Xenopus tropicalis: one gene and its partners. The protein of the gene in region 5 interacts with the protein of the main gene of each other region in a pairwise test. Links are inferred from orthologs where the notes say so. Each region holds a gene or a part of one and is shown on either strand. Other genes may lie near its edges.

What was found.
Region 1: the proteins of birc2 (region 5) and hsp90b1 come close enough for resonance energy transfer, tested with the Homo sapiens proteins (2 studies listed by BioGRID). The link is inferred for Xenopus tropicalis from reciprocal best matches to the Homo sapiens genes BIRC2 and HSP90B1.
Region 2: the proteins of birc2 (region 5) and wdyhv1 interact in binary tests that used the Homo sapiens proteins (3 or more experiments, as listed by UniProt). The two-hybrid records come from large-scale screens. The link is inferred for Xenopus tropicalis from reciprocal best matches to the Homo sapiens genes BIRC2 and NTAQ1.
Region 3: the proteins of birc2 (region 5) and ppm1k interact in binary tests that used the Homo sapiens proteins (3 or more experiments, as listed by UniProt). The two-hybrid records come from large-scale screens. The link is inferred for Xenopus tropicalis from reciprocal best matches to the Homo sapiens genes BIRC2 and PPM1K.
Region 4: the proteins of birc2 (region 5) and tsga10 interact in binary tests that used the Homo sapiens proteins (3 or more experiments, as listed by UniProt). The two-hybrid records come from large-scale screens. The link is inferred for Xenopus tropicalis from reciprocal best matches to the Homo sapiens genes BIRC2 and TSGA10.
Region 6: the proteins of birc2 (region 5) and gcc1 interact in binary tests that used the Homo sapiens proteins (3 or more experiments, as listed by UniProt). The two-hybrid records come from large-scale screens. The link is inferred for Xenopus tropicalis from reciprocal best matches to the Homo sapiens genes BIRC2 and GCC1.
Region 7: the proteins of birc2 (region 5) and exosc5 interact in binary tests that used the Homo sapiens proteins (3 or more experiments, as listed by UniProt). The two-hybrid records come from large-scale screens. The link is inferred for Xenopus tropicalis from reciprocal best matches to the Homo sapiens genes BIRC2 and EXOSC5.

What each region holds. Positions count from the first base shown.
Region 1 is NC_030679.2:49,296,546-49,300,632, forward strand, and holds the end of hsp90b1 (endoplasmin precursor), read right to left. Parts: intron 3,622-4,087; coding exon 3,376-3,621; intron 3,296-3,375; coding exon 3,159-3,295; intron 2,887-3,158; coding exon 2,808-2,886; intron 2,686-2,807; coding exon 2,530-2,685; intron 2,024-2,529; coding exon 1,901-2,023; intron 1,111-1,900; coding exon 1,081-1,110; 3' UTR 507-1,080; downstream 1-506.
Region 2 is NC_030682.2:139,824,858-139,828,830, forward strand, and holds the start of wdyhv1 (protein N-terminal glutamine amidohydrolase), read left to right. Parts: upstream 1-1,173; 5' UTR 1,174-1,351; coding exon 1,352-1,422; intron 1,423-3,973. Other genes in the region: atad2 (ATPase family AAA domain-containing protein 2), read right to left, coding at 517-702. UniProt on the Homo sapiens protein: Mediates the side-chain deamidation of N-terminal glutamine residues to glutamate, an important step in N-end rule pathway of protein degradation.
Region 3 is NC_030677.2:79,129,651-79,134,480, forward strand, and holds the start of ppm1k (protein phosphatase 1K, mitochondrial), read right to left. Parts: upstream 3,089-4,830; 5' UTR 2,929-3,088; intron 1-2,928. UniProt on the Homo sapiens protein: Serine/threonine-protein phosphatase component of macronutrients metabolism.
Region 4 is NC_030678.2:112,847,892-112,851,978, reverse strand, and holds part of tsga10 (testis-specific gene 10 protein), read right to left. Parts: intron 3,979-4,087; coding exon 3,828-3,978; intron 2,609-3,827; coding exon 2,433-2,608; intron 1,161-2,432; coding exon 1,005-1,160; intron 1-1,004. UniProt on the Homo sapiens protein: Plays a role in spermatogenesis. When overexpressed, prevents nuclear localization of HIF1A.
Region 5 is NC_030678.2:162,208,755-162,212,841, forward strand, and holds part of birc2 (baculoviral IAP repeat-containing protein 2), read right to left. Parts: 5' UTR 4,017-4,087; coding exon 3,161-4,016; intron 2,874-3,160; coding exon 2,774-2,873; intron 2,295-2,773; coding exon 2,216-2,294; intron 2,087-2,215; coding exon 2,041-2,086; intron 1,079-2,040; coding exon 839-1,078; intron 649-838; coding exon 391-648; intron 1-390. UniProt on the Homo sapiens protein: Multi-functional protein which regulates not only caspases and apoptosis, but also modulates inflammatory signaling and immunity, mitogenic kinase signaling, and cell proliferation, as well as cell invasion and metastasis.
Region 6 is NC_030679.2:89,148,151-89,153,027, reverse strand, and holds the start of gcc1 (GRIP and coiled-coil domain-containing protein 1), read right to left. Parts: upstream 3,073-4,877; 5' UTR 2,964-3,072; intron 37-2,963; 5' UTR 15-36; coding exon 1-14. UniProt on the Homo sapiens protein: Probably involved in maintaining Golgi structure.
Region 7 is NC_030684.2:79,498,340-79,502,426, forward strand, and holds part of exosc5 (exosome complex component RRP46), read right to left. Parts: intron 3,825-4,087; coding exon 3,711-3,824; intron 3,505-3,710; coding exon 3,383-3,504; intron 1-3,382. UniProt on the Homo sapiens protein: Non-catalytic component of the RNA exosome complex which has 3'->5' exoribonuclease activity and participates in a multitude of cellular RNA processing and degradation events.

The DNA of each region.
Region 1 (4,087 bases), on a different chromosome or scaffold from region 5:
GCGTTTTCTTGCGTATATCGGCTACATGTGCCTGCACCCAAGCTATTTTCCTTATAGAAAATAGCACCAATATGAGGGCCTTTAATTGCAACTGGTGGGTACATGGTGGTGTATCAGACCACAAGATTTAGAATTAAGAGTGATCTTTGTCTAATGCCCCGCTTTTTTTTTTTTTTTTAATAAAAAAAAAACTTTATGGTGCTTAGTCAATGGCTGATTTAGGGAAAATTATACATACATAATCATTTCCATGGAATTTCTACATGCACTTTTGCAGCTATAGACAAAGCAGCATCTGGAACAGCTATTATACCTATGATAACCCATGGTAGGCCAACTGGAGTCTGAATGCTGCTATTTCCTCCCATCAACCCACTACTGGGGCAAGGCTGGACAGCAATTTGTATTTGCAGTGCTCTTACAGCCAACTACTGGCAAAATAATATTAATATAAAATGACACAGATTAATATAGAGCCATTATTTCAAAAACAGGAAATGCTGTTCTTCATTATAGAAACAAAGTCACCTCAACTTTATTGTTGTCAACTGCTGTGGAGTCTGCCTGCAACACATAACAGTAACCCAAAAAAAGTTACAGATTGTTGCACTTAAATCATTTTATGCTTAACAGTGCCATTTTCCACAAAATTATATTTACAGAATGTTTACAGTTCACAAATGCATCAGGACCAGCTCTTTGTAGTGTTTTCTTAAACTATTTTTCAGCATGTCTCAAGACAGTGCCATTGGTGACACCCTTTGTTATCATTTTCAGACAGTTTCACAGGATAAAAAGATATAAAACATAATGCCTCTTCTAGACGAAGAGGTTTTTAAACCTGAAGTGCTCATATTCCTAGTTTAAATTGACATTCCCTTTTCAGCTTTGGACGCTAAATCCAGTATGGCGTTTTCAACATTTATTGTAACATGAAAGGTTTTACATCAATATACTCATAAATAGTACAAATTTACATTCATGAGGAATGTTAAAAAAAAAAAAAATCCAAACTAAAAAACCCTCCCATCCACAAAAACAAAAAAAGTCCCTGGATCCAAGTGGACGTCTGAATGGAATTTACAGTTCATCTTTTACATCTGTGGATTCCTGCAGAAGGGAAAAAAAAAAAAAAAGCGTTAATAAATTTGAGCAAACTGCCTACTTAAAATTAAATCAAAATAAATGAACGTCTGGTTCTGTTTTCATTGGAAGGTTCCCCTCACTACACTGACCTTAAAATCATAATGGCACTTTACAGATTTAAAGTGTTGGTATACCACGGAAACCCTACCCAACACTATTTAGAACAGGTTTATAAAACAAAAAGATACCTCAGTGCTTCCTCCACCTCTATATAAGCAGTGATGTTGGGGGTTTAAAAACAGACTTATTTGGTCTATGAACTTAACTGCCCATCCCAAACCCTAGGCAAAGCAACAGGTGTGTACAGAAGTGATGGGGGTTGTTTCTGTTACAACATTTTTCTGGCTTCACCTTTCTGTGCGGAAACATCTATTATACCGTACATAGAGCTTTTAAAATTTGTATGAGTTTAAAAGGAGAACTACACCCCCCAGGTATAAAAGCCCCCTTAATTGGCCTGCATTGATCCCTCTTCCCTTCTCACATAACCTATAACTTTAAAAAGTGGCCCGATAGAAAAACCCAACCTAAAAGAGCAGTGCAGTGTACCCTGCTTGAGCATGTGTTAATGATTTCCGGCTAGCCCCAACTGCGCATGCTCAAGCAGTGTCTTTACTGGTGGTGAGACCCGAAGCAGTTTCTATTAAAGGGAAGATGGCACCCAGGTACCCTGCTCTGCTTTTTTAGGTTGGGTTTTTGTATAGGACTTTTTTTAAAGTTATAACATATAAAAAGATAGCAATGTGCAGTTTACCTGTGTGTCTGTTTCTTCGGTTTGTGTTTTTTCCTCAGCCTCTTCGGCATCAACCTCTTCCACATCTTCATCCTGTTCAGCATCATCTGCAGCAGGTTCTTCCTCTTCTGGTTCTTCTTCCACCTGTTTAGGAGGAAAAAAAATTAACAAATCAATAACATGTGAATTGTACTTGCTGGCGTATGATACCTGTACTCCATTTGCATCTGAACACCCTTTAGGCTGACAACTCCAAGGTTATCTAAAATCCTAAATCTGGCTCTATAGTTGGATGGGGTAAACTCCCATGGTGAAATAGCCAGTATGAGTCCATAAGAGTTCTGCAAACTTTACACCTGGCAACAAAACACAGTGACTGATAATTGCCAGTACTTTTTCTACTCTGAACCCAGTGATCATGGGAACTGTATACATTTGGCAGGCAGCTTCAGCTACAGTAGTTCAAACAGGGACTGCCCATTGAAGCACACTAAAGGGTTGTGTGTCACGGTTTATGCCAGAACTCAAAATATTTTAAATCTACATGCAGTAGGCAGATGATTTTCGGGGTACAGAAAATGTTTAAATATAACCGTTTTGTTGAATGGTGCTTAAAACTAAGATAGTAGTATTCATAATACTGCAGTTACCTGAGCATCAAGGTCAATCTTTAAGCTGAGGCGCAGCATTCTTTCAATCCTGTCTCCATATGATTTAGTATCAGGCAGATGATATCCTGAACGTAAGGTGGCAGTTTCAAAGAGTACAACTGCAAGGTCAGCTACAGTCTTATCGTCTTCATTTTCCTAAAACAATGGAGATATAGTAAGAAAATGATATACTTGCTCAGCTTTTAAAGCATATTGTGCAATGATACAATTACACATTGCCTCAAAACACAAGGATAACAAACTAAAAAAAAGCTCACCTTTACTCTTTGCAACATTTCCTTGATCAAAGGATGTCTTGGATTTATTTCAAATGTCTTCTTCTGGCCTGAATAATAACTAAAATGAAGTTTTATACAGTTAGCAATTTAATCATTTAACCAACTCAACCACCCATATATTTTCAAAAACTTGTGCCCAATGCCCACAGTTGTCAAATTGTTATTTTATGTACCACACCCACATGCCAAGCAGAATTTACAAATGTAATTTCATCTGTGCAGGCTGACTTTAGGCGGATATCCTTTACCTTTAGCTAAAAACTAGCTAGCTGCCAACAAAAAGAGCTGTGTATCTAACAGAAGGTCATTTCAATACATAATGGGACTTACTTTGTGGAAATATCTTTTCCTGTCTGATATGCTTGAGCTTTCATTATCCTTTCCATATTGCCAGACCAGCCATACTGACTGGCTACTAGTGCGCAAGGAGATTGTGTCAAACGCTGGGATACTACTGCTTTTTCAATCTTAAAAAAAAAAAAAAGATTGTTATGCAAGCATGGGAAATTTGTAGCATCTCTTTCCATAAAAAAAAAACCCCACATACCTGGTCTTTCAAAGCCTTTTCTTTCATCCATGTCAGCAGTGGTTCATATTCCTTCTCCAATGCTTCCCGTGCCTCCTTTGACTTTTCATTTTCATCAAACTTAAGGCCTTCCTTTGCAACATTTTGGAATCTCTTCCCATCAAATTCTGGCAGGGCCTGGATGCAATACTCATCAACTGGTTCAATTAAGAACAAAACTTCATAGCCTTTCTTAAGGAGGCGCTCAACAAATGGAGAGGACTCGACCTGGACAGCAGCACAAAAAATAAATAAATAAATTATATCACTTAATTACTACGTGTTTAATATTCTGGAATCAGTCACAAAAGAATACATTTGTAAACTGGTATGATACATATTTTGCATGGCAATACAGTTTGGAAACAGCAATTGAATGTACATCTATGACTATTTCTATGTGGGACACAGAAATAAGGGGAATCAAAGAATCTGCTCACTGGGAATCCCACATCTTGTAAGTGGGTATTAAGGTGTATCGATCATGCATTTAAACGCAACAATCTAAAACTAACATTCAGACGGAAATTGTAGGATAAAGTGACTTCCTGGAAATGCACTGTAGCTCCCCCAAGGATATCAGATATACACTACATGCACAGATTTTATAGTTAACCGTCCAAAATTTTCTAAACTTGCCAATTGACTAAATGACTGATCGCTATGGTACGAAAATGATCAGGGTGATAATTTG
Region 2 (3,973 bases), on a different chromosome or scaffold from region 5:
TAGGTTACAGAAAGGCACATTTTAAGCAACTTTTCAGTTAGTCTTCATTGTTTATATTTTTTGATTTGCTGCCTTCTAACTTTTTGAGCTTTCAAATAAGGGTCACTGACCCAAAGAACTATTGCTCTGTGAAGCTACAGTGTTATTGTTACTTTCTAAATACTTATTACTTAATTTTTCAATTATGGGCCCTCCCCTATTCATGTATCAGTCTTTCATTCAAACCACTCCCTGGTTGCTAAGGCAATTTGGATCCAAGCAACCAAATAGGTGCTGGAACTCCAAGCTAACAAAAAAATGAAATTATAAAACTACAAATAATAAAATAATGAGAATATTTCTCTCTACGTCATACTAAAGGGTCACTTAGAGGTGGGCAACCCCTATCTATTTATCTACGTTCGTTAACTTGCCCGTATGTTACTGGGGGGCCAAGGACAATGCTCCAGAATACGGGGTACACCTCAGCCCCCTCGGAACACGCTGAATATAGCCAATAATATACCCATGACTTACTTGGCCAGACCGGGCCGCCCCATTGGTGCCGGTGTTCCTCTGAGACCTCCGTTTGCCCAACTCCGGGGACTCGTTCTGGGGCTCCAGACTCAGAAACTCGGAGCTGGCATCGAGCAGAGAGTCTTGCTCCCGGTAAGAAGGCCCAGCGCCGTTAGCCGTCCCCGTAGAGCTCCGAAGCAGCACCATGACCGCTCCCGCCGCTGATTACAACCCTCACAAACGGATCAGTCGGACGGGACAGCGATTCCAAATTCTGGCGCCACAAAACTTCCACAGCCTGACGCTCTCCCAGATCATATCCCTCCGCCGACTGTCTAAACTATGGTTTTCCTATTTCCAACACCAAGCGCCTTCCGTCAGCGCAGCTAATACTCTCTGCCCGTGTAAACCGTACGTACACGTGTATCGGCCGCGGTGCGAGCAAGTCGCTCGAGGAACTACTACATTCGGTTACACGTATACCGCGGAGGGACACGTTTGTTTTGGCGCGTCCGCAGTTTGTTTTTAGCGCGGGAACTAAAGGGCGAGTTTTGATTGGCTGAAACGTGAACACGTGTTTTACCCTTCGGCCGATGTTTTCGGCGAACGCAGGGACTTTACAGCGGCGACAACTGCAATATTTATAGTGACGTTGAATAATAAGGATTCGTTGTGTGTGGAAAAAGTGTTTGACTTGTGATTAGACAGTCGGGACCGGTGACGGCTTAAAGCCAGCTTAGGAGGGAGAATATAGTGGGTAGCAGTTTCCGGGGGAATGTTTAGGCTGTAGCACCCGGTGGCTTCCTTGTTATTGTGACAGCTGAATGGAAGGCGGCTGTGGTGCAGGGGGAGAGCTATGGAGCAGGCAGCCCAGGTCCCGTCCCTATTGCCGGGGCGCAGTGACTGTCACTATACCGGCTGCTACTGGTAAGCTTGGGGGGAAGGGCACAACTGGCCCTATAGGTTTATGGGTCCCCTCAAAACCAGCAGCTATGAGATTTTCTGCCTGCAGCCCTCCTACTCCTGTCTAAAGGCAATTCCATAATCCCCCCTATTATTATTATTAACATTTATTTATAAAGCGCCAACATATCCCGCAGCGCTGTACAATACCTCTGTAACACTTGTTTGGCTATAATATGGCCAACCCAGGCTAGTAGCGTGCTGTAGAGCTAAGTGGGAGGTATTAATGGAGCTGAGGGTGTTGTTGAACTACAACTAGCTGAGGTAGTGTGGTGCAATAGATAGAAATGGACGCCAGAGGATTCTTATGAATGAACTGGATAATACTTTATTTGTCCAAGACAACGGTATTCAGGGTATTCAATACTCAATAGATGCAGAACAGTATGCAGTTATACAGTTGATGTAAAATTGATAAATAGCAGAAATATGATGCTCCCCTGTGTATCCCTTCTCATCAAGAGGTTTGGGCAGGTAGAACAACAACAGCGTGATAGGTAGGAAAGCTCACCGGCATAGTCCCATGCTCTGGTGGAGGTTAGGGCAAGGCATATTTGCTAACCTATTCCCCTAGCACTTCTGTGTCCCTAATCTAAGGCCAGTAATGCCTGTTAGGAAGACTACTCCTTTGCTATTATCCTGGATGGAGCAAATGGCTGCTCGTTCTATATAGTTCTGTCTGAACTCACCACTCCTAGAGGGTGCTATGAAATATGCTGCTATACTGTCTTCTCCTCATTCACGGGGCCCTGTCCCCGACTTCAGATGATATAAGTGGCTTTTACTGGGGCCGTCTGCACCCAGGCTCAATGGACTGATGCCTGAGACAGGGGCAGCCAAAGAGGAAGACACTCCCTTGTGCAAGACACTATATAGTCTGCCAAGGGGAGTGGTCAACCGGACTAAACCTGTAGGGGATAGCTTAAAGGAACAGTAACACCAAAAAATGAAAGTGTATAAAAGTAACTAAAATATAATGTGCTGCTGCAACCGTAGCTATAGGCCGACTGCAGGGCTCGGAGTTGCCACAAACTGAGAGAGAAACACCTGTGTCTGTCGCCATATGGAAACCTAAATAAAATAAGATAAAATGAGATCTTGGAAATATTAACACTTAGGGCCAGATTCATTAAAGTATGACTCACGAAATCCAATAATTTCTGATCATTGCGAAAGTCACAAAATCTCCTTTCGTTTGAATACGAAAATTTCGTACTTACAATCCGAAATTTTTGTTTTGAAACGATCGTTTGTGATAGTCATGAAATTTTCGTATTCAAACGATCGTAAACGGTGGGAAAACCTTTCTGACTTTGATCCTTCAGTGCATGATTTTGGAAGCATCGCATAGGGCTCAATGGCACTCTGCAGCTCCAACCCGGCCCAAGGAAAGTCTCCCATAGGGCTCAATGGCACTCTGCAGCTCCAACCTGGCCCAAGGAAAGTCTCCCATAGGGCTCAATGGCACTCTGCAGCTCCAACCCGGCCCAAGGAAAGTCTCCCATAGGGCTCAATGGCACTCTGCAGCTCCAACCCGGCCCAAGGAAAGTCTCCCATAGGGCTCAATGGCACTCTGCAGCTCCAACTTGGCTCAAGGAAAGCCTCCCATAGGGCTCAATGGCACTCTGCAGCTCCAACCGGCCCAAGGAAAGTCTCCCATAGGGCTCAATGGCACTCTGCAGCTCCAACCCGGCCCAAGGAAAGTCTCCCATAGGGCTCAATGGCACTCTGCAGCTCCAACCCGGCCCAAGGAAAGTCTCCCATAGGGCTCAATGGCACTCTGCAGCTCCAACCCTGCCCAAGGAAAGCCTCCCATAGGGCTCAATGGCACTCTGCAGCTCCAACCCGGCCCAAGGAAAGTCTCCCATAGGGCTCAATGGCACTCTGCAGCTCCAACCTGGCCCAAGGAAAGTCTCCCATAGGGCTCAATGGCACTCTGCAGCTCCAACCCGGCCCAAGGAAAGTCTCCCATAGGGCTCAATGGCACTCTGCAGCTCCAACCCGGCCCAAGGAAAGTCTCCCATAGGGCTCAATGGCACTCTGCAGCTCCAACCCGGCCCAAGGAAAGTCTCCCATAGGGCTCAATGGCACTCTGCAGCTCCAACCCGGCCCAAGGAAAGTCTCCCATAGGGCTCAATGGCACTCTGCAGCTCCAACCCGGCCCAAGGAAAGTCTCCCATAAGGCTCAATGGCACTCTGCAGCTCCAACCCGGCCCAAGGAAAGTCTCCCATAGGGCTCAATGGCACTCTGCAGCTCCAACCCGGCCCAAGGAAAGTCTCCCATAGGGCTCAATGGCACTCTGCAGCTCCAACCCGGCCCAAGGAAAGCCTCCCATAGGGCTCAATGGCACTCTGCAGCTCCAACCCGGCCCAAGGAAAGCCTCCCATAGGGCTCAATGGCACTCTGCAGCTCCAACCCGGCCCAAGGAAAGCCTCCCATAGGGCTCAATGGCACTCTGCAGCTCCAACCCGGCCCAAGGAAAGTCTCCCATAGGGCTCAATGGCACTCTGCAGC
Region 3 (4,830 bases), on a different chromosome or scaffold from region 5:
CAAACATGGTCAAAGAAGAGATAGGATCTATAGGGAGCTCCAATAAAGGGGCCATTGTTACAGATAGGATTAATGTTTAGCCCAAAGGGGAACCAGCACCGTATATTATTCATAATTGCCTACAATATTAGGGTTTTTCCCATTTATCCAATATGTCTCCTTTAAGAGGGGCCTGGATGAGTTCTTGAACAAGCATAGTGTCCAAGGCTATTGTGATACTAAAATCTACAGTTAGTATAGAGGTGGGTATATATGGTTTATGTATGTAAGTTTATGCATAGGCCAGTATAGGTTTACATGTGTGCTGTTGGAAGGGATGATTTATTCAACTCAGCTTAATTATGAAACAGCACTGCACAGCTGGTCGGGTTTTTTTATTCCATGTCCTAGGTTACAGAGAACTAGTGGTAGTGTTAAGCACACAATTTTCTAATTATTACAGTTGTAGTGGGTCAAATTACACTGCTGCAGAAAGTCCCCAGAAGTTCTATGGGTGTCATCTGGCACAAATAATGTATTATTTGATAATGTGTGCATCATACATACATTCAAGGTGATAAATGTGCAGCAATAGGCGCACACTGTGCTTTATAAGTTTATAAATGGTGCTTTATAAATACTTGTCAATAATAATACTAACTACTAAATATTGAGGCTGTGACATTAAATGTTTTTATGTCGATTGTACCTAGCCAAGTATAATTTCCCTGCAGCTTCTATAAAGTGTCACCTCTTGGTGTTCTGTTCCTAAGAGTCATACATATTACAAAAAAACGACAGCAGAGGGCAGCATCAAGGTATCTGCTTCCAATTTTTTTTGCAAAGTATTTCAGTAACTCATCCTTAAAGGAACAGTAACATCGAAAAATGAAAGTGTTTTTAAGTAATTATAATACAATGCACTGTTGCCCTGCGCTGGTAAAATTTGCATGTTTGCTACAGAAAGACTACTATAGTTTATATAAATGGCTGCTGTGTAGCCATTGGGGCAGCCATTCAATGTTTCTAAAGAAAATACACCAGTTGTACTGGTGCAGGGCAACAGTACATTAAGAATACAAAAAAGAGAGGGGGATTGATCAATGCACATTCCCTGGTCCCGTTTCATAAGTAAATTATCTATGCTAGTGCAAGTATTTGCAAAAAACAGAGGTTTTATTTACAAAATTATGATCATAAGATTGGTAAGCCACCATACCATGTTAAGGTAAACCCCGTATGGTGCTCCTATCTATTTACCTCTGGTCATATTTTTAATATATTTAATAGATTCAACCACGGGTGACTAATCTCCTTGTGGACCATGGCCCTTATTGCTGAGAACACCATATTGATGAACGTAAAGTGCTGGGAAAGGTAGCGCAGATTTCCCATTTCTGACAAACCTCCATGTGTGCCATCACACATATGTTGGACAGGACCCAAATAAACAGAGCTTGTACTAAATATAGGGTCTGCCTGTTCTTTTTATTCTCAGATTAATCCATGTTTTTAGGTCTAATCTTTATTTTGTTTTTACCCCTATTTTTGTTTATACCCCTTTCTCAAGCAACCTTCGTTAGTATTGATAAAGATCTATATACAATGAACCCCACACCCCCACACACACATTTTCCCTTAATCTTGTCTTTATCTCATGGTTATATTAGTAGTATATTATTATACAGGGGCTGAGTAAAGGGACAATATAGCTTTTTTCCCCCACAGATAATTTTGTTACTACTTAGAGTTGTGTATATTCTTAGTTCACCCTTGACATATAATCCTTTATTTATGAATTTCTGACACATTTTCTCAGTACGGGCCAATTAACCTGCCTGTATGTTTTTGTAACTGTGTCCAGGCTGGATTTGAACTCAGGGCCCCTGACTAAAATTGATTAACAATTTCTGCAGATGAAAGGCTCTGATGAAATCCTTGTAAATGGTATTGCTGCAAAACTTCCAGCCCTCTCAGAATTCTAATCACTTCCTGCTAGATTAGCAACAATAGGTTTGGCTTAATACCAAACACCAATTTCAACATTAATAAAATTCAAAAAAAATTTGCTCTGAAAAGTGACATGAGTTTGGATTCAGTTTGGTGCTATGAATTAAACCATAATGAAAACATTATGTTAAAGATAAATATATAACCAATTAAGAAATGTTAACCGGTATAGGATATATTATACGGAAATACATCATCCAGAAATCTCCGAATTACAAGTGATTTCCTTTTTTTTCTGTAATAAAAAAAAAAATACCTTGTACTTGATTCTAACTAAGCTGCATGAATCCATATTGGTACCAAAACAATCCTGTGTGTGTTTCACTCTTTGCTGCCAGTGTTTACACTTGCTACTTTCCCTATGACAGAATTGCCCCAAGCGTGGCGTTTACACTGACAACATTACACAAAATAGCCATGCAGAAATTGACTTGGAAGTCAGTCTGATAGCTGTATACCTGTTAATTTCCTCCAGCATAAAAGGGGGAACAGTTTTATTTGAATAAGTTTATTCATGTAAATAGATTTCAGATACAAAAAAATATATTGTAATATATACTTTATAAATGGTGCTTAGTAATGTAATCAGTTAAAATTGATTAGTCTTCCTGTTACATGACTACATTATAAAAATTAGTCTATCCCCAGTTGTAAAATATGAGTCACCTCGATGTCCTGTGTCCTGGTCAAAAGCACTTGGCCTTTGAACTTGTGCTTTTATATGGCTATGGAACTCCACAGTGTCTAATATTGTTAAAATGTATTAAATAAATCCAACAGGTTTACTGTGCTTCTCTTTAAAGGTCAAAGCATTAAGGCTGTCTGGACAATCAGCCTAGCTTTATGCATGAAAAAGATAAAGGTATGCATGACTGAAAAGGGTTAACAAATACGAGCATTACCAAGTGACGCAGCCTTAGCTACAGGATTTCATCTCACCTTGATTAATGTTCAGGCTTGAATATCTTGATTAAAATCAAAGAAATAGGGTCCCAGATGGTGCAAGCAGCAATAGGTATCAGCTAGAATCATCTATAAGCTTACACCGCGAGAGGAAGCAAGCATATGACAGATGCACACCCACCTCCTGTAAATGAACCGAGCCAATGTAATGGGCGTTGCGTATGTAGAACAGTAGTGCTTGTTGTTTCCTTAACCAATCACAGCTACACTTTTCATGGAAGCTTTGAATGCTGGGAGGTGGATGCAGTTACATTGCTATTGACAGATACACACTCCCCTTTTTCAGCAAATGAACTAAGCCAGCTCGATGGGCGTTGCATGGAGCACAGCAAGACTTAAAGAGAACCTATCAGCTTTCAGTTAACAATAGGAATGTGTTTAGAGTGCACAAGCCGACTTTCTCAAAAGTCAGAATGCAAAGCCCCATGGGAAAAAAATATAGCTGAACTCTCCTGAGATTACCTCTCAACCGTTTGAATGTGCAGGAGAAGAACGGAGAACGAAGAACAGAGAACATGGAAGAGAGGTTTTTTTTTTATTGTTAGTAGGGAAGGACTCCAAGTTTACTGTACTTCAGCCAGCACTGTGCAATCTCTACACCCTCCTCTTTACAAGCAGAGGAGTTTCAGTGATACTGCGTGAGGCACCGCTCCCCCCTGCAGCCCCCTCCCTGTGCCTGTGACCGGAGGATTTTCGCTGAGTCCGGGTAATGCTCTGCAGCCCTCCTTGCTTTGCCTGTGACCGGAGCTGGAGGAGTCCCCTGTGCAGCTGTGACCGGAGCCAGAGGAGTCCCCCCCCACCTGTGAACGGAGAAGTTTCAATAAAACTGTGTAAGGCTCTGTTCCCCAGCTGCATCCCCCACCGGGTGCCTTCCTAATGCGTAATGTAGAAGGCACCGGGTGGGGATGCAGCTGCGGAACAGAGCCTTACGCAGTTTAATTGAAACTGCTCCATTCACAGGTGGGGGGCAGCTGCAGGGGGAACTCCTCCGGTTAGAGGCAGCCGGGCGGCTGCAGAGGGAACTCCTCCGGCTCCGGTCACAGGCAAAGCAAGGAGGGCTGCAGAGAGGAAACAGAGCATTACCCGGGCTTAGCAAAAATCCTCCGGTCACAGGCACAGGGAGGGGGCTGCAGGGGGAGAGGTGCCTTACACAGTATCACTGAAAGTCAGCTCGTGCACAGTTTTAAAACTACTGCTTCTGGTCATTTTTTTTTTTATTAAAGTTATAGTTATGTCATTACACTTAACACTCTAAACACATTCCTATTGCTAACTGAAAACTGACAGGTTCTCTTTAAGCTCAACCAATAGCAGCAATGCTTTTCTTGGAACCTTTGCATACTGGGGGGTGGGAGGTGGATGCAGATACAATGATATTGAAGCTGTGCCAAGATCATGGGCGTGGTTTGACAGGCTCTTTCCTCATCCAATAGTGGCTTTGGTATTCACATGCCCCTTAGGCTACTAGGAGTCCTGATTGGTTACAAGACATTGACAAAGGCTGATATGTAGTGATGTAAAACGTTAGCTAACTCCGAATTGGCTGTTCTATGTTCTATGTTTCCTTCATTTGGAGGGAGAAGGGTTTAGGTGACTGTGGTTTACGTGTCTGATTATTTGGAATAAGTGAAAAATCTGAATATTTTGTCACAATATAATCAGTATGGATGATATTCCATATACTAATATACTAAAAAATAAAAACGGATGAGACCAAAACTCATGAGATTTCAGCAATTTTTTCCGATGAGGCTTTGCACTCCAACTTTTTAGAAAGCCGGCAGCTCCTACACAGTTTTAAAACTACTGCTTCTGGTCATTTTTTAACAAAATAAATTATGGTATGTCATTACACATAACACTTTAAACACATTCCTA
Region 4 (4,087 bases), about 49 Mb from region 5:
TACTTAATTTTCTAGTATATATCTGGCATGGTGCCAAGAGATTGGCGAATTGCTAATGTGGTGCCATTTTTTAAGAGGGATCCCGTTCTCAACCTGAAAACTGTATTATGTGCAATAGTACATGAAGGAATAATGGCCTGGAACATAATATCTGTAGTTGGACAGAGAACTGACTGAAGGATAGATTACAAAGAGTGCTGATTTTCTAATTGGACCAGTGTCATCTTCTAACAGGGCCCAATGTTTGCATATTTTGAGATTTGTTATCAAACACTATTTTGGACTGATCTAGTTACACCTGGCTGCCCAGTTGAATAACTATGCTGTGCAGCTCATGGTTTGCAAATAAACCAAAACATATACTTAATTGCACCATTTGTTGGTCTGGTATTCCTAACTGACTTTAATGTTATCACTCGATAATAACCCTACACTTCCATCACAAGAAATGACCAGCTTGTGATTACAATATTGAAACATGTGTAACCAGCATTGCCAATCATCCAGTGCTGCTGTGAATATTATATAAAATGTGGGCAGTATAGCATATCTGCAATTCATTAACAGATGACCCTATTAAATGTACCTCATAAAATAGGTTTCATCAGATATCCAAGAATTATCATGATTTAAGTTTGTGAACACTAGAAGTGCACCCAGATGGCCTTTATTTATAAAGTTTAAATGCCAGTCAAATTTTCCTTGATCCGCAAAATTTAAAAACTGAACTGAGTTCAGCACCACCAATCATTCTACATCTTCATATATTATCTTACTAATCTTAACCTACTATAGAATGAAATGTAACCATACATATTTAATCAAGAAACCATTCAGCTGATTTCACTGAGAATTTTTTTAGTGCAGTATAAACATTCCTTCCTTTTTTAGTGCAGTATAAACATTTCCTTCTTCAGCAAAATAAAGGACCCTGAATTATAAAAGTTCTAATGGTGTCTTATTGTTCCAGGCATTACTTTTTTATAGTCATACACAGTAGTTACCCGATCGTAAAGCATGTTGGCTTTGTCCCGGTCTGATGTCAGTACTTTTACATTCGCTTGAATTTCTGCCATGTGACGCTCATATTTCTCTAGCATTGTTTGCAACTCATCTCGTTCCCGAAGGGTCTTCTTGAGTTCTGACTCTAACTGTAACAACTGGAATACATACAACAGAGGGTAAACTAGGAGCACAAAAGACAGGACTGAAATAAATACTAGTACAGGTATAGTATCCATTATCCTGAAACCCATTATCCAAAAAGCTCAGAATTATGGAAAGGCCATCTGCCATAGACTCCATTTTAGTTAAATAATTACAATATTTAAAAATGATTTCCCTTTTCTTTGTAATAATAAAACAGCACCTTGTACTTGATCCCAACCAATATATAATTAATCCTTTTTGGTGCAAAATCAATCCTATTGGGTTTAATGAATGTTCAAATGATTTTTTAGTAGACTTAACAATAATAGGTCTCATACCTGTATTACAAAATATGTCATGTAATGTATAATTGCTATAAGCTAAAATAAGACTGCATTCCCCCACACCATCTTATTGACTAGGGTGCAATAAGGATTTTGGGGTGGGAAAATTCCACCTATCATATCATATGTGAGAGACCAACATTAAAGGGTTTTACAAAAACACAGATAATGTTGTGTGTTTATTTGTTTTAAAACGTCTAGTTAAGCGAACTGTCAATGTGGTTGCTATAAGTTACAGCAGTATGGCAACCTTTGCCTTCCTGCACAAATTACTTTTACTGACTCTGCAAAAAATAGGTGCGCGCATGAAGCAAGCACAATGTTTTCTAAAAAGTTTTACAGGAAACATATTGGATAAATGGAAAACCCCTAAATTTGTAGGCAATTATGAATAATATATGGTGCTGGTTTCACTTTGGGCTAAATATTAATCCTATCTGTACAAATGGCCCCATTATTTGAGCTCCCTATAGACCCTTCTCTGTCCGGGGTGGGCATTTCCTAACGGTCCCTGCCAGAAGCACAGCAGGAGGGGGATAACCAATCACAGCCTTGCACTCACACAAGCAAAGACAGTCTTCAGTAGCCTATTAGGTCAGCCTAGCTGCTGATTGGTTCCTATCCTACAGTGCACTGTACCGAGGGCCGCCGGCTCCCCTGCACATCCAGAGAATTCAGCCAGCAGGAAGTGGAACAGATGGGCGGGGCTAGTGGGGTTTTGGTGGAATTTCTCAATAAATCAGTCCGAAACACAACTTTATTAGCCACAATCCTTCTATATCTAGAGGAGTATGATTCACTGGTACATTCTTAATTTTTATATGATATGTCTCCTTTAATATTTTGGATGGTCTCCAAAGGAAGCAATCTAATTCTTGTTATTTACAAATTAATACATAACAATGTATGTGGATAAGGGTTTTTAACATTGTTGCCAACCTGGGTATTGGTATTAGCTCGCTTGGGACTAAGACTCTGACGTCGCAGGGTTTTCCTCAGATTTTCTGCTTCCCTTTTATAGTGATCTCGTTCCTCTTCCAATGATTTGATGAAGGAGTCAAGTCTAGAAGGAGCCATAGCATTACTCTTCTCACATGCTAAGACTGTGTTCTTTTCTGTTAACAAGGAAAAATATTGTCCTCCACTTAAAAGATTAAAAAACCTTTAGGGTCAGTATTACCCCTTGTACAGCATGAGTGCAAGGGTTTGATTCTCCTTTAATATCCAAAGAAAGTGAATTGCACTGTCAAAACTAAATAAAAGGAAAAAGAGAAATACAATCTTTACAGCACCAGTTGCACGCTTCCATTCACCAAATAGGCGCAAAAAGATTAGAATCTAATTTGAAAATTAAAACATGATTTTCATTGTAATAACAAAATGAAATGAGAGGGAAAACAACAAAAAACACTTGAAAATCAGCAGAATTAAGGAAGTTATCATTTCACAGAGTGATTATTACTAAGGAGCCATGATCATCCAATTTATGTTAGAACCAAAAAAGCTTAAACAAAAAGACTGTGGAAGTCACAGGGTTACATTAGGCAATATAGCTGACTTCAATTAAATAATTACCATAGCTTGGTGGGTCTACATTAATACAAAATTAACAAACTAAGTTACTAAATGTAACTTATAATTCTCTAGGTTAATGAGAGTATCATATGTCAGAGAAAGGAGATTGGTAACAACTACTGAACAAAGAGAAACAATTACTAATTGCACCAAACTCAGTCCTCAAGTCTACAACTATTACAGATCTGTATGCCAAGCAATCATTCCACCTCCTACTTACTCCATCTTACTGCTATAGCCATAAACCAGGGGTAGGCCACTTGAAAGAAATGCACAAATGCTACCCAACAGACCTTTGTCCCTGCCTATGATTTAGTCTGGCTTGAATGTAGTCTTGCAAGAAGAAAATTAATTCAAAAATTGCCTCTATTAGCTTAGATTCCCATTGTAATTAGAATTAGCCATGTCCACACTTGACCTGATGTGCGTTTTTTCTGGCCCCTGAGGAGGCATTTGCTCACATATAAATAATGATGTCATACACAGCAGACAATAAAGCTCATAGGTGAACAGGGTGCCTTAAAAATACCTTAGAGAGCCACAATCGGACTGCAGGCCTCAAGTTGGACAGCCCTGATTTATACCAACAGCAATAGTTAGACATTGCTGCCATTGGTCAACGGGCCACAGTAAAAAGCTGTTACTCTACTCTTCGAATATCATATTCTCTGCCTCCCTTCAATCTCTTTAATTAATCTTCTCATAGCTTGCCACCAGAAATATAATATATAACTCTAGTGTCATTTCATAGGAAGTTACCTGATCTCTCGTGCTTTTCAATCTTTTTGCGTAGTCTGTTTTGATCATCTTGAAGCTGGTCTACGAGAACATTTAGGGTCCTGTTCTCATCCTGTTTTTCTTTGAGTGCAACTTCTGCATGCTCAAGTTGTTCTTTAGTAAGGCTTGCATCCTGAATTGCAAAATACCATTTCAGAACATCATCATACATCAGCTATGAACTATGCAAAATGAAGGATATCAAAATAATTGCAGAAACACAAATTAAAAGCAAATTTTCT
Region 5 (4,087 bases):
TATGTTATAATCTCATAATAATGGATAATCCAACCAGTTGGTCTAGCAATGGACACATATGTGTAGAGGCAATAGTAAACAACAGGATGAAGACACAACTACAAAATTGCCCAGTGTGACTGCATGAAGGATGTATGACTAGTTCTAATAATTTTGTACAGGTGGTCTTCATGCAACCTCCACTGCAAAATGTCTGTGATAAGTGGCAAAATATACTGCCAACCCTCAAATAAAGGGGGCCACTTGGAAGGCCTCTCAGACAACATTAACCCTTTCTGGACACAGTGCTACACAACTTCATCAGGCCAAAACTCTGCTAATTGCCTTAGCTACCCAGAAGTTGATGTCTTTCAAACAGATATGTATCCACTTCTTTTTTAATAAACTTACTGAATAGTTGTCTGAAGAGATTTGGATCGTGTTTCTGGAGACAGTTTTTCAATGTCTGAACTGCTGTTTTTCCTTTAGTTATTATAGTTTCAATCATTTCTTGTGCCTGCAAAATAGGCTGTGTTTTCAGCTTTATGGCTTCGTATTCAGCAGCGGTGATATCGTTGGAAGAGAGCAGATAATCCAGGATTGGAATGCTTCGGCTAGCTATGTGCTGTGACAAAGCCATTCTGCTCTTTCGTATTACAGAGATATCGTCTGCAAAAGCAAAGGAACAATGATAATTTAAACACCTTTTAGAAATGTAATGTACATGGCACCATAGTGTCCCCCCTAATGCTACCTGTCACTGATATGAATGGCAACTGCATGTCACCCAAGGAGTATTTTAAACACTAAAGGGCTCAAATGTGTGTTTTGGGGCTGAAATCTAAATGTACCCACTTACCCAATGAGTTTTCTTCTGCCTGTCTGTTTCGCTCTTCCTCGGTCTGTTCTTCTTGTGCAATAAGGAGATCACTTATTAAATCATCAAGCTGACTATAATTTTCCCCAGATGTCAAAATTTTACTTTGAACGGTTCGTTTTACTAATCTTCTATTGAATCCGATCTCCAAGGCAGTCTGAACCATGGGAGTGCTCATCATGATTTCATCTTCCTGGCTATTCTCCGTTCCCAATCGAATAACTGTAATATAAATGTAAAAATAGTTTAGATTCACCACTAAATAAAAAAAAAAAAAAAAAAACTTGCAACTCTGCAAATTGTATTGTTTTCCCTCAAAATAACCCGACAGAGATTGTCACACTAAGCGGAATTTGGTGCAAAACTGCATATGCGAGCAGTATCTATGGTTTCTGTTATTTCTGGCACTAAAGAATATGAAGCCAGTTTCACTTCAGCAATTCCTAGTCCTAAAGACCTGATAAAACTAATTACCAGCTCAGAAGCCCCTGATAATGAGCTGTTCAAAGGCTGCTTCTCAGAGGAGAGAGATAGGGAGCCCTGAAAAAATATTTCCCTGTTTCTAATGAAAGGAGGAAGGTAATATCAGTGAAAATAGCCCAACTTTCAAGTTTTTATATTAAACAAAAGAATGTAATTTCTATTCTCCTATTTCTCGTGGTAATTCTTGACTTAGCATTAAAGTTTGTTGTTATCAAGCACTACTGTGGTTAGAATAAAAGTAAGGGCTCTGGCACACGGGGAAGATTAGTCGCCTGCAACAAATCTCCCTTGTCACGGGCGACTAATCTCCCCGAACTACCATCCCACCGGCGAACATGTAAGTCGCTGGTGGGGTGGTACACGCTGCGCAGGCGATTTCGGCAAATCACAGAAGTTGCCTTTGCGAGGCATTTTCGGCGATTTGCCGAAATTGCGCCGCCGCGTGTGCCATCCCACCAGCGACTTACATGTTCGCCGGTGGGATGGCAACTGATGGCTCTCTGATGGCAACTCGGGGAGATTAGTTGCCAGCGAACAGGGAGATTTGTCGCGGGCGACTAATCTCCCCGTGTGCCAGAGCCCTAAGCAACAGGGAGTTTGCTTTCATATTGGCCAATTTATACAGTTTCTAACATTATCTGAATTACAGCACAGCATAAACAACTCCTGAAAACAGATAAATATCAAACTAATGCACTTACTGGGTATGTTCTTTGCTTCATTTTGGTTTTCTGAAGATGACAGCAACTAACGAAGACAAAAAAAACCATCAAGTGTCATTAAACCTCGTGTTTTTCTGTGCAAAATGCATCTAACGTTACCAGATTTGTGATAAATACTACAGCTTTTTAAAGAACCCCATAAGAATATCTTTACCTGATCAAGAAGATGTGGATATCTTTCTTGAACCTCTCGAACATAATCTTGACCTCTTATATGCAACAAATACTCACACCTAAGGAGGTAAAAAATTATATGTTTTAATAGAACGCGACTATAGGTTATAACCAAAATGCTATTTAAAAGACGAACATGTTGGTAAAAGGCAGAATTGACTATCTGTATGCTGCAGGCATTTATTAGTGACTAATGGCTGTGACACATGATTTAGAGGTGTTGGCAAGAGTGCTGGCAAGTTATAACAAGGGTTTCTGCTTCCCAATTACTTACTAACCATTCACTCGGTGAATTGTCAGGATGGATACCAAAAAGGTGTTTGGGCATTTTAGAATATGTTTGTTTGCTATGAGATATGGTGGCCCTTAACATGTCTGAGAACAAATAAGAGTTTAAGCCTAAGCAGGTTGAAAACCCCTGCACCAACTGAATGAAGCGAGCTTACACAACTAGCCTTCCTGACCGTGCCAAATTCCATTTGATATACAGTTTCAGTGTTCAAGTATCAATGTAAATGAGAATATTACAGACACAAACCTAGGAAACCATTTTGCATGTTCAACCCATGGGTCATCTCCAGACTCCCAGCAACGAAGGCCTCCGTCACAGCAAAAGCACTTAACATCGTCATTTCTCCCTTTAAACAGGGGTAAAAAAATAATTAATATATTTCAGTCCTTTGGATAAATGTAATTTGTGGTCTACCGACCACTCACAGGTTAACTGCTTTGGTTGGGAAGCAATACATGGTTAACTACCTAAGGCTCATTGTACACAGGGTGACAGCCTAAGCACCCAGGTATGGCTGTTCAGCATGTACAAAATTAGTAAAACTTATGCTCAAAATGTATTGGCCAACGAACCCTAAGGCAACTAGTTTGGGAAGGATGTCCGTTATAGGATTCCAATAAGGCAAATACCTACCAACGTAGTAGAATCCAGCCTCTGCGAGCCGTGTTGGGCTTATGGGAATTCTGGGCGGCCAACTGGCAAAAGTTTTGAGTCGAGCCGAGGAGGCCTGCATGCTGACATTTGAAACGCTGAACCTTGAGGAAACCCTTGTAGAGGACTTCACAAAGGGGCAATTGGGAAAATGTCGTCTGTGCTCTGACATGGCATTGTCATTTGGCTCCCAGTTGTTCAATTTCCCATCACAGGTAAAGCAGGCGACTTTGTCTCCGGGCCCAACAAAATAAAAGCCAGCTTTTGCGAGTTCAGCAGGAGTAAGGAACATATTGCTCCACTCTTGGAAACTGTTAAGCCTGGCTTCTTCTGTATACATGTATTCACTGATCCTGACGTGCGACAGATCCTCAATGCCCCTTAGCGTGACTGGATCTTGGGGAATGCTACTATATTTCAAAGTGATTGCCTCAACTTTGTCATTTTCAGCAGAAGCAGCAGGCATGGATGTACTGTTGGAGGCAGGTGGTGAGAAGGCAGAGTACAGAGATGCGCCAAGATTCACTGAAGGGACATTCTGAATAAAACTACAGCTGGGATACAACTTTTTGTGCTTTTCAAATGCATTGTCACCTTTCTTCCAATTATCAAGCATCAAGCCGCAGGTAAAGCACTTGACCTTGTCATCTTGCCCGGTGTAATAAAAACCAGCTTTTGCAAGGTTGCGCTCAGACACATGTGTATTGCTTGGAAAGGAGCTAAATGTAGAGAGACGGTAGAGTTCACATGAGAATTCCAAGGTAATTTTGCACATGCTTGGGTTTGACTTCAACCTCTTAGCAAGGTCTGGGCGTCTGTCCAAAATCTCATTTGCCATGGTTTGTGAAAGGGAAGGAAGGGGGCATCTTTCCTAGGGAGATAGTTACTATATTATCAGTTACGTTTCCT
Region 6 (4,877 bases), on a different chromosome or scaffold from region 5:
CCTAATTTCTCCATGGTAACAGATCAGCTTAGCATTCTGATTTTTATATAAAAGTAGAAGAAAAGAGGGAGTCTGAAATGAGTTCCTTGCATATTAAAAAAGACGTGAAAAAGACAGACGTAGATAAAAAAAAAAAAAAAATATGAAGACAGCAAACAGAATCAGTATTAAAAAATATCTGGCAAATAAGCATAATAAGATTAAAGGGGACCTGTCACCCTAAGAAATAATTTTAAATTATTTTCTATTGTGTTTGTTCAGCAAAATAAACTTCACTTACACTATATAAGTAATATAAATCTTGTTTCCTTCAGTCCTGGAATTACACAATCACATCAAATAGGCAGCTGCAATTTTGTGGACACAGTTATTAAGGCAAGCTTTGTATCACCCCAAAATCGTGTGTATGTGCCAGAATGGGGGACCAGATGCCCAGGCCCATGCATTGGCTACACAATTAGATGGTGAGGAGGGAGGGGGAAAGTGTGAGCTGAATTGAAAGTTAAAGTACTTGTCTGCCCCGCCTCTATGCCTTAATATATGATTGACAGCTGGGATTTTTAAATGCCTTTATAATGGGTTTGAATGTGTTAATATAAAGATGATTTTGGTTTTTTCTTTAATTTGAAAAGGACTTTTATTATACAGCTTTTTATGTCTGGGTGACAGGTCCACTTTAAAGGTGTATAAAGGAAGTACAATCAATATGCAGAGCAGTGGAAGTGTCTTAAAGATTTGGAGCAATAGAACCAAAAACTGTTTTCAATTGCTTTTACAAATAACTTTAAAACATAGAAAATGTTTAATTACTGTATTTTACAAAGTTTCTTTCTTTTTGCAGGTCAGATATGGCTTTAATATTAGCCAATAGGAGGTGATGGAAGACCAGATTTTGCAGGCTGATTTGTATAAACTTGAAATATGGGCTTAGAAAAGTAAGCAAGCTTAAGGTGGCCATACACGCACCGATAATATCGTGCGAAACCTCGTTTCGTACGATATTCGGTGCGTGTATGGTATGTCGGCGAGTCGACCGATATCGCAGGAAGCTGCTGATATCGGCCGACACGCCGATCGGTCCAGTTGGAAAATTTTGATCGGGCGCCATAGAAGGCGCCTGATCAAAATCTCCCTTCAGCGCTGAATCGGCAGAAGGAGGTAGAAATCCTATTGTTTCTACCTCCTTACCTGCCGATTCAGCCCTGAATGGTGTGTGGCACATCTGACGATGTTTCGTGCGACCGATGGTCGCACGAAACATCGTCAGATCGCCACGTGTATCGCCAGCTTTAGGCTGTAAGGCCAAAGTCAGTCAAATTTCTTGACTATGTATCTCAGTGTTTGGCCCTCACAGTACTTGTATGTGTATAGTGGCATTCACAGCGACTAACAACTTCAAGGAGAAGGAAACCTACTGATACTGTATACTCTCAATAGATTAGCCACAATAGTGCAAGCTAGAAAGCTATATTTATTCTGTAGAATGCGTTACCATACCTCAGTGAACAGCCCTAAAAGCTATCTCTGTTTGTTTTGGATAATAGCTGCTATATTAGCTTTGTGTGATATAAATTCCAATTCCTCCTGCACTAAGTCTCTGGCTGGGTCATAGCTCTGGGCTCAGTTTATAGCAAGAAGGGGAGAAAGAAGCGAGCTGCACAGGCAGGCTTCCCGGGGTATGGTGTTTTAGCTAGAGAGGAAGTATGATAAAGAAGCCCATGTGTGAACAACAGAAGCAAAGCAATGACATGTTTCTTTTCACAGGGGCTCAGAGCAGCATTACTGTGAGTGTTTATTGGTGTTTATACTTAGACATTTCTGATAAAGCTTAAATAGTTTTAACCTTTCCTTCTCCTTTTATTTGGATGTGATAGGTATTGTGTGAGTTGTGACACTGTTGGAAATACAGTGGCTTGCAAAAGTATTCGGCCCCCTTGAACTTTTCCACATTTTGTCACATTACAGCCACAAACATGAATCAATTTCATTGGAATTCCACGTGAAATACCAATACAAAGTGGTGTACACGTGAGAAGTGGAACGAAAATCATACATGATTCCAAACATTTTTTACAAATAAATAACTGCAAAGTGGGGTGTGCATAATTATTCAGCCCCCTGAGTCAATACTTTGTAGAACCACCTTTTGCTGCAATTACAGCTGCCAGTCTTTTAGGGTATGTCTCTACCAGCTTTGCACATCTAGAAGCTACCACTAAATACTGCTTGCTGGCCTTGGTGTTAAAAAAAATTATATATACATGTGTGTGAAATAGGAGCAAATAGTTGCATGCATATGCTAGTTCTTAGGTGGTCTAAAGTCCTGGAGATCAGGTGGATGATCACATGACCACACTAGGAAATAGCATCCTGAAGTGACATGTGCATGTACAATAAGCCTAACTCCTTACTGTGCATGTATGCTGCCATTTTGTTTGTCAGCTAAGTTTACAGATATAATGTTAATATTAACACTGCTGCCAAATTCTGCCTTTAAACTGCACGGTTTTAAAATCCATCCTACGTGGCTGTCAAGCCAGCAGTACAGATAAAGGCTTCATTTGTTTTAATGCAAGTAGATTACTAGTAATTACTGATCAGACATCCAGTTGGGGCAAAGCCTTGTATCACTCGAACACTACGTTGTAGTTTAGAACAGCTGGTAGTATGGTTCAACTTGGAAATCCTTGATGAAAATAGAATGCGGGTGACATTATACTGGAACTGCTATTTAAGGCCACCTCCGATATTTGCCAGCATATTGGAAGTCATGGATAAGCAGCAATCAAGTAAAGCTTGCACTAATACTGCCTAAAGAGACGTCTTCTCTTCAACACAGCAGCATGGCTATTAAAGACAATTGGCAACTAACTAATTTAAAAAAAAAAAAACAAAAGCTTCCCTGGCACCTTCACATTAAAATCACACATTTCCATTAAGCGAAAACCCGCAGCCTCACTTACCTACAACATCAACCATCTTTCTCAATCCTGCAGACGTGGAGCAAAGCGCGCGTTGGCTACTTCAGCTGCCAATCAAATCTTTAGACTCGCCTCTCAATCTGATTGGAATAAGGCGCGGCTTATAGTGGTAAAAACTTTTTTAATTGGTCGACACTGGCTAACATTGACAACAGGCACTCGACTACCTCTACATGAGAGGCGGAAGCTGCTTTCATTGGTCAGTGGTTACCATGGCGGAAGAAATAGATATAAAAGTATATATATATATTGAAGAAAAAAAAAATGCGCACGCGCAGTAACATAAAAACCGTTCCGGTTCTCAAGTACAAGATGTTAGCAGTTTGCATGATACTGCATAGCTGGTGTTGGATCCACGCTGTGTTTGAAACTACAAGAATGAATAAATCAGACCGGGGGATGGCGTTGGGTGAGGGAGAGAGCGGGGAATTGTATCTTATTTCAAAGGATCAGCCACAGTGGAGCTCCTACAGGAGGCCGAAAAGCAGGGAGGATGAGGGAGGTTGTCTCTTCATATCCCAGCAGTTAAGAGTGAGTTAGGAGGCAAGCAGAGTATGCGTTTAATCTTACAGGGGGTGAGAAGATTAAAGCTAGCTGTACACGCACTTATCAGGCCCGGGTGTGTGGCTAGGCCACAAAGACCCTGGCCTAGGGCAGCAAAAATTTAGGGGTGGCATGCCGTCCCGCTGCACCGGAAATTTGCTCCCATACGGAGCAATGGGAGACTTCTTTCCACTGTGAATGGGGCGGCCTCAGGGCGCGATTCGGTGCGTGTTTTGCGGCTTGATGAGGCCACCGATATTGTAAGAGGCTGCGGATATCGGTTGACTCGTTGATCAGCCACGTTAAAAGATTTTGATGCCGTCCGGGCAAAATTTATGTTAAGGGCTGAATCGGCAGAAGGAGGTAGAATTTCTGTTATTTCTACCCTCCATGGAGGGTGGGAACGATCTTTCGAAAGATCAAAATTGTTACGTGTATGGCCACCGTAACTAGCACCAAAAATTTAGAGTGTTTCAAAGTAGTTCATGTATTATGTAATATTGCCCTGCATTGGTAAAATTTATGTGTTTGCATTAGATACACTACTGTAGTTTTTATAAACAAAGTTGCTGTGCAAACTAAAAAAAAGGAGAAAAGGCATAGGTTACACAGCAGATAACAGATGAGGTGCATAGATTCCCATTGTATTCTACAGAGCTTATCTGTTATCTACTTATATAACCTGTGCCTTTTTTCCAGCTTGAATGGAAAATTGGAAGGTAGGAGTGCACAAGCGCGAGACTAGACAAAATAATGTTTTAGTGCTCCAGAAGGTAGCATCTGAGTTTTTTTCTTAAAGAGAGTGGGTGAGTGTTCACTATGGAGGAATTCAGGGATAGAGTTTCAGAGGTAAGGAACAGGATATAAAAGGTTTAAGGCGAGAGAGAGCAGTGGGTGTGGAAAAAGGTGGAGGCTCTATAAGAAGCGGAGGAGACAATCAGGAATGTGCAGAGAGACCAGTGAAGAAATGTAGTGAGGAGCAGAGAAGTGAAGGGCTTTGAAGGTTAGCAGAAGGATTTTGTATGCTATCCTTTGCTTAATGCTAGTGCGATTGTGGGGCTGAACAGATTGCCTCTTTGGAGAGAGCAGGAGGATCCTGGCAGCAGAGTTTAAGTTTGATTGCAGGAGAGAGAGGTGGGAGTCTGGGAGGCCGGTTCGTAGGAGATTGCAGTAATCTAAGCGGGAAAGGGTAAGGGCATGGATTAGTGTTTTAGCTGTTACTTATGAAAGAAAGGAGCATATCTTGGTAATATTGCGGAGGAAAAAACAGCATTTTTCGGCAGTGTTATTAATATGGTTAGAGAAGGAGATTGATTATAGATAACCCTAAGGCAGCATGCTGAATGGTCATGC
Region 7 (4,087 bases), on a different chromosome or scaffold from region 5:
CCCAACTTTTTATTTTTGAAAGGGGGGGTTATAAATAACTAAAATAAAATCTAAATTACCATCTAACAACACAAAATGAGCAAAGGAAATCTCCTACTAATAACGAGTGTGTTTCCTTGCTTTTTTTACAGTAAGTACACTGGAGTAATTGCTGACACAATGAATCCATTGATACGATCTTTATGCCCTACATTCAACAGAGCACCAGGAAAACACTACGCTAACATATTCTTCTTATTTCTACAGCTACCATTCCCATGATTTCCATCTCCTGCCTTGAAAAAACAGGAAATTACATTTTTTTCTGTTTTATGCCTTGACCCCATGGCTGTGATATGTTTGAAAATGCAATCTTTAACAAGCACTTCTCTCAGTGAGCCTCAGTAATTCCTTTGCACCCCTCGGTATAATGGATGCAATAAGAAAGCAGCCTAGACTTATACATTAACACATATTTCTCCAGGGGCAATAGCACACTGCCATATTTGAATGTAGTAAGCTATTTTCTTTTTATTTTACAATAGAGGAAAAACTGAAGGTTTTATTTGGGCTATTGGGAATGCACTAAGCTTGCACTGCTGTTCAGACTTCTTTGCAATGCAACTAATACCAAGAGATTTTTTATCGCCATAAAAAGAATTTCTGTTCCATTGCATTTTTGAATTATGATGAATTTTTTCTTCAGGTCCTATGTAGGCATTAGAAGAATTTGTTATAGGAGCTGGGAGAAAACTGCTCTATTGCACAGTGCAGAAGGTGTTTGCACCAAGATAGAACACTACAACAAAAAGTCCTTTAAACTGCCTCCAGCATTTCACAGCAAATCGATGGGAATGGACACCTTCTCATTTTTGAAAACTAGAGATTACACTTCAATTTAGGCAAGTGATAAACTCCCCGCATGAATTAGCATTAAGCACTTATTATTTGCATTCAAACTAAATGGGGGTAGAATTAAAAAGCTTTGAGACAAAAAATCCTAAATGTACTAGATAGATTGTAAGTACAACTTGGCCTTGCAGGCAACCAAACTCAGCTTCCCTCCCACACCACATCAATTAAATGAAAAATACAAGCAATGCACAGCAAATGAATAGTGGGGAAACCCACAGCTTGTGTAATCGTTCATGCTGTAAATTTTGAGGAAAAACTCATTTATGCTCCAATTTGCCCATTGTTTTATTGCTCTGAATTTTTGTTACAGACCAAAAGGTAAGGCCAAAATATACCATAGCACCCTCCATGAGAATTGGAAGAAAGTTCTTGTTGAAGTGCAATATTTACCTACAAAACATGGAAAAAAAATAAATAAATAAATAAATTTATATATATTATATATATATATATATATATATATATATTGGTGAGCAATTCAGCATGATGAAAGACAGAATGTTCACATAGCTAAACAAAGTCATTACGTTTTGAGTTCAGCACTTTTAGAATTGAAGTACCCATGCTTTATGTTAAAAGTAAAGTATACACAATTGTTATTGCTTCAGAAACATGGAACAAACTATTAAAGGCAAGTCAGTACAACAATGCTAAAATAGCATTTCCTTTTTCTCTGTAATAATAAAACAGTAGCTTGTACCTGATCCTATTGTATAATTTATCCTTATTGGAGACAAACCAATCATATTGGGTCTATGTTAAATTTTTTTTTAATCAGTCTTAAAGAATGGTGACCCAAATTATAATAAGACCACTTATCTGGAAAACCCCAGATCCCCAGCATTCTGCATAACAGGTCCCATACCTGTACTACAAATAAAAGCCATAAACACAATTTTTGCAAACTGAAATATTGCTCACCCATACATACAACCCTGGGTCACAGCACTCTCCTTGTACAGTCAAATCCCATTAGTTATTTAGAGAGGATGGAGAGCTCTTGCACTTGGAAGGCTGGGACATAAAAAGTGGGAATACCTTAGAAGCCTGAGGCAGTAAATGAACTGTGAATATTAAGGTCAATCTTTAGATAATGGGCTTTTTATGTCAGAAAAATCCCAATCTTTTAACTTGACAGAAGAATACATTTTGTCATTTTTAAGTCAAGGGCCAAGCATGTTTTACTGCTTAGTAAGGGGATTTTGATTTAATTCTATCTTGGGTTTTGATAATCTGCTCATTGATGACTAGCCAAAGGGAAAAAAAAACCTTTGGAGTATTTTCAGGATTCATGATGTTGTACACCTAGCCTGCTGGGCTATTCGGGTTACAGAAAACATGAAGAAGTGGTTCATCCAAGGCAAACCTTTGCAGGGAACCTTCTAAGCCAAGTGGCCCTGACAGAAACCATATGATTTAAAAATCCCAGTTTAGATTTTATTGTCAGTTAAGTGATAAGTGAGGCCTGTTTTCTTCTTCATGCCTATTGTGATTTGAATAAAGTATTTATTTGAGATTTATTTAGAGATTTCACCTCCCTCCTCACTACCTTTGGGCCAAGACCAAGTTAATTACCTTATGGTCATCGATTACCCAAAAATATTGGGGTAATGAAGCTGCCAGCTGACAAAACCTGAACTCAAGATGCATGCATTCTGATCACTAAATGATAAACTGTAGAAACTATTCATGATTCTCTGAATACAGAGAAGAAAAAAAACATAGTACCATTCCCCATTAATCAATGGATGCTCTTAATGTATACCATTAATAAAGAAAAAAGGGCTTTTCTGGCGTAAAAGGCAGTAAAACAAAACAGAGAAAAGAAGGATTAAGTTGATAGTTGGAGTGTGACGCATTGCTGCCATCCAGTGGGTAAATAAAAATATCCACAACTTACAGAAGTTACACAAGTCAAACTGCAATTTTACATTCCTGCAGCCAAGTGATGAGTGAATCTGTCCATTTTTGCTTTGCCGAAAAAATTAGTTAAATGGCAGTCAATGGGAGACTTTTTTTTTACTGTGTAACTTTTTTTTTTTGCAGCCATTGATGTCTATGGATGTTTTTTTGCAGCAAAACCTGGCAAAAAATCGCTCATTACTAAGTCATTTGAGCAGATGTTCTCCATGTATTTTGCACCTTGTTTATCTGCGGTTTGTGAGATTTTCAGTCAAACTAAGCTGTTTAAAATACTAACCAGATGCATATCTTCCCTTCATCCTTCTGTAAAAAGGGAATCTCAATTATTCCTCCTATGGCCATCCACAAATTGCAGTAGATTGTGTATCTCAGTCTTGCAAAAGCTGTTCCATAATGTACACATAAATGATTTCACCACTTACATCTTATTAGCACAGCAAATCATGAATTTCAAAGACAGACTGACCCCTGTGCTTATTACAGTAGGCACAAATAAAAAACACAATAAAATTTGTTATTGCCTATAATAGTCAAAAGCTAGAATATCAAAGTGGGTTTAGGATACAGATCCAGCATCACTGACTATCTGTAGCACAATGGTTATTGAGGTTCTAGGATGCAAGGATCCAATGATGACAGATTCACATGTTTCACGAATTAGCTGCTCCTGGTTTTTCTCCTGGATAGCTTTGGGGAATAAAAAAAAAAAAAGAATGATATTCCAGGTAGATAAAAAGTGAAAAGAAATGTCTAAGTACAGAAAACCAGAAACATGTCACATGGGCAACTTTTTTGTGGTTAGACTGCAATGATGCAAAGTATTTGTCTGTTAGCTGTTAGATGTAATTCTTGCCTTCAGAAAAACAGAACATGTCTCTGATGGAAGCACCTACCAGGCAACCCAGTCTTGGGCCTGAGGATCACCTCTAATGTGGCTTTATTATGGATTTCTCTGCTGACCTTGATCTCTGCAGGGCCATATACTCCAGCCATTACAGATGTGTCGCCTACAGGAAAGCAACATGGAAATCAGTTGAACAGTTAGCCTTAAGGTGGCCATACACCTTACAATTACAATCTTTCCTGCAACCATTTGTCTCAGGAAAGATCGTTCCCACCCTCCACTGGCATTCAGAGTTGAATTGTCAGATATGGAGGTAGAAACAATAAGGATTCTACCTCCACCTGACAATTAAGCCCTAAACACAGATTTTGCTCGTATAAAAGTCTTCTGTCCCGCCCGTTCCACGAGGCGACATATCCGAAGCTT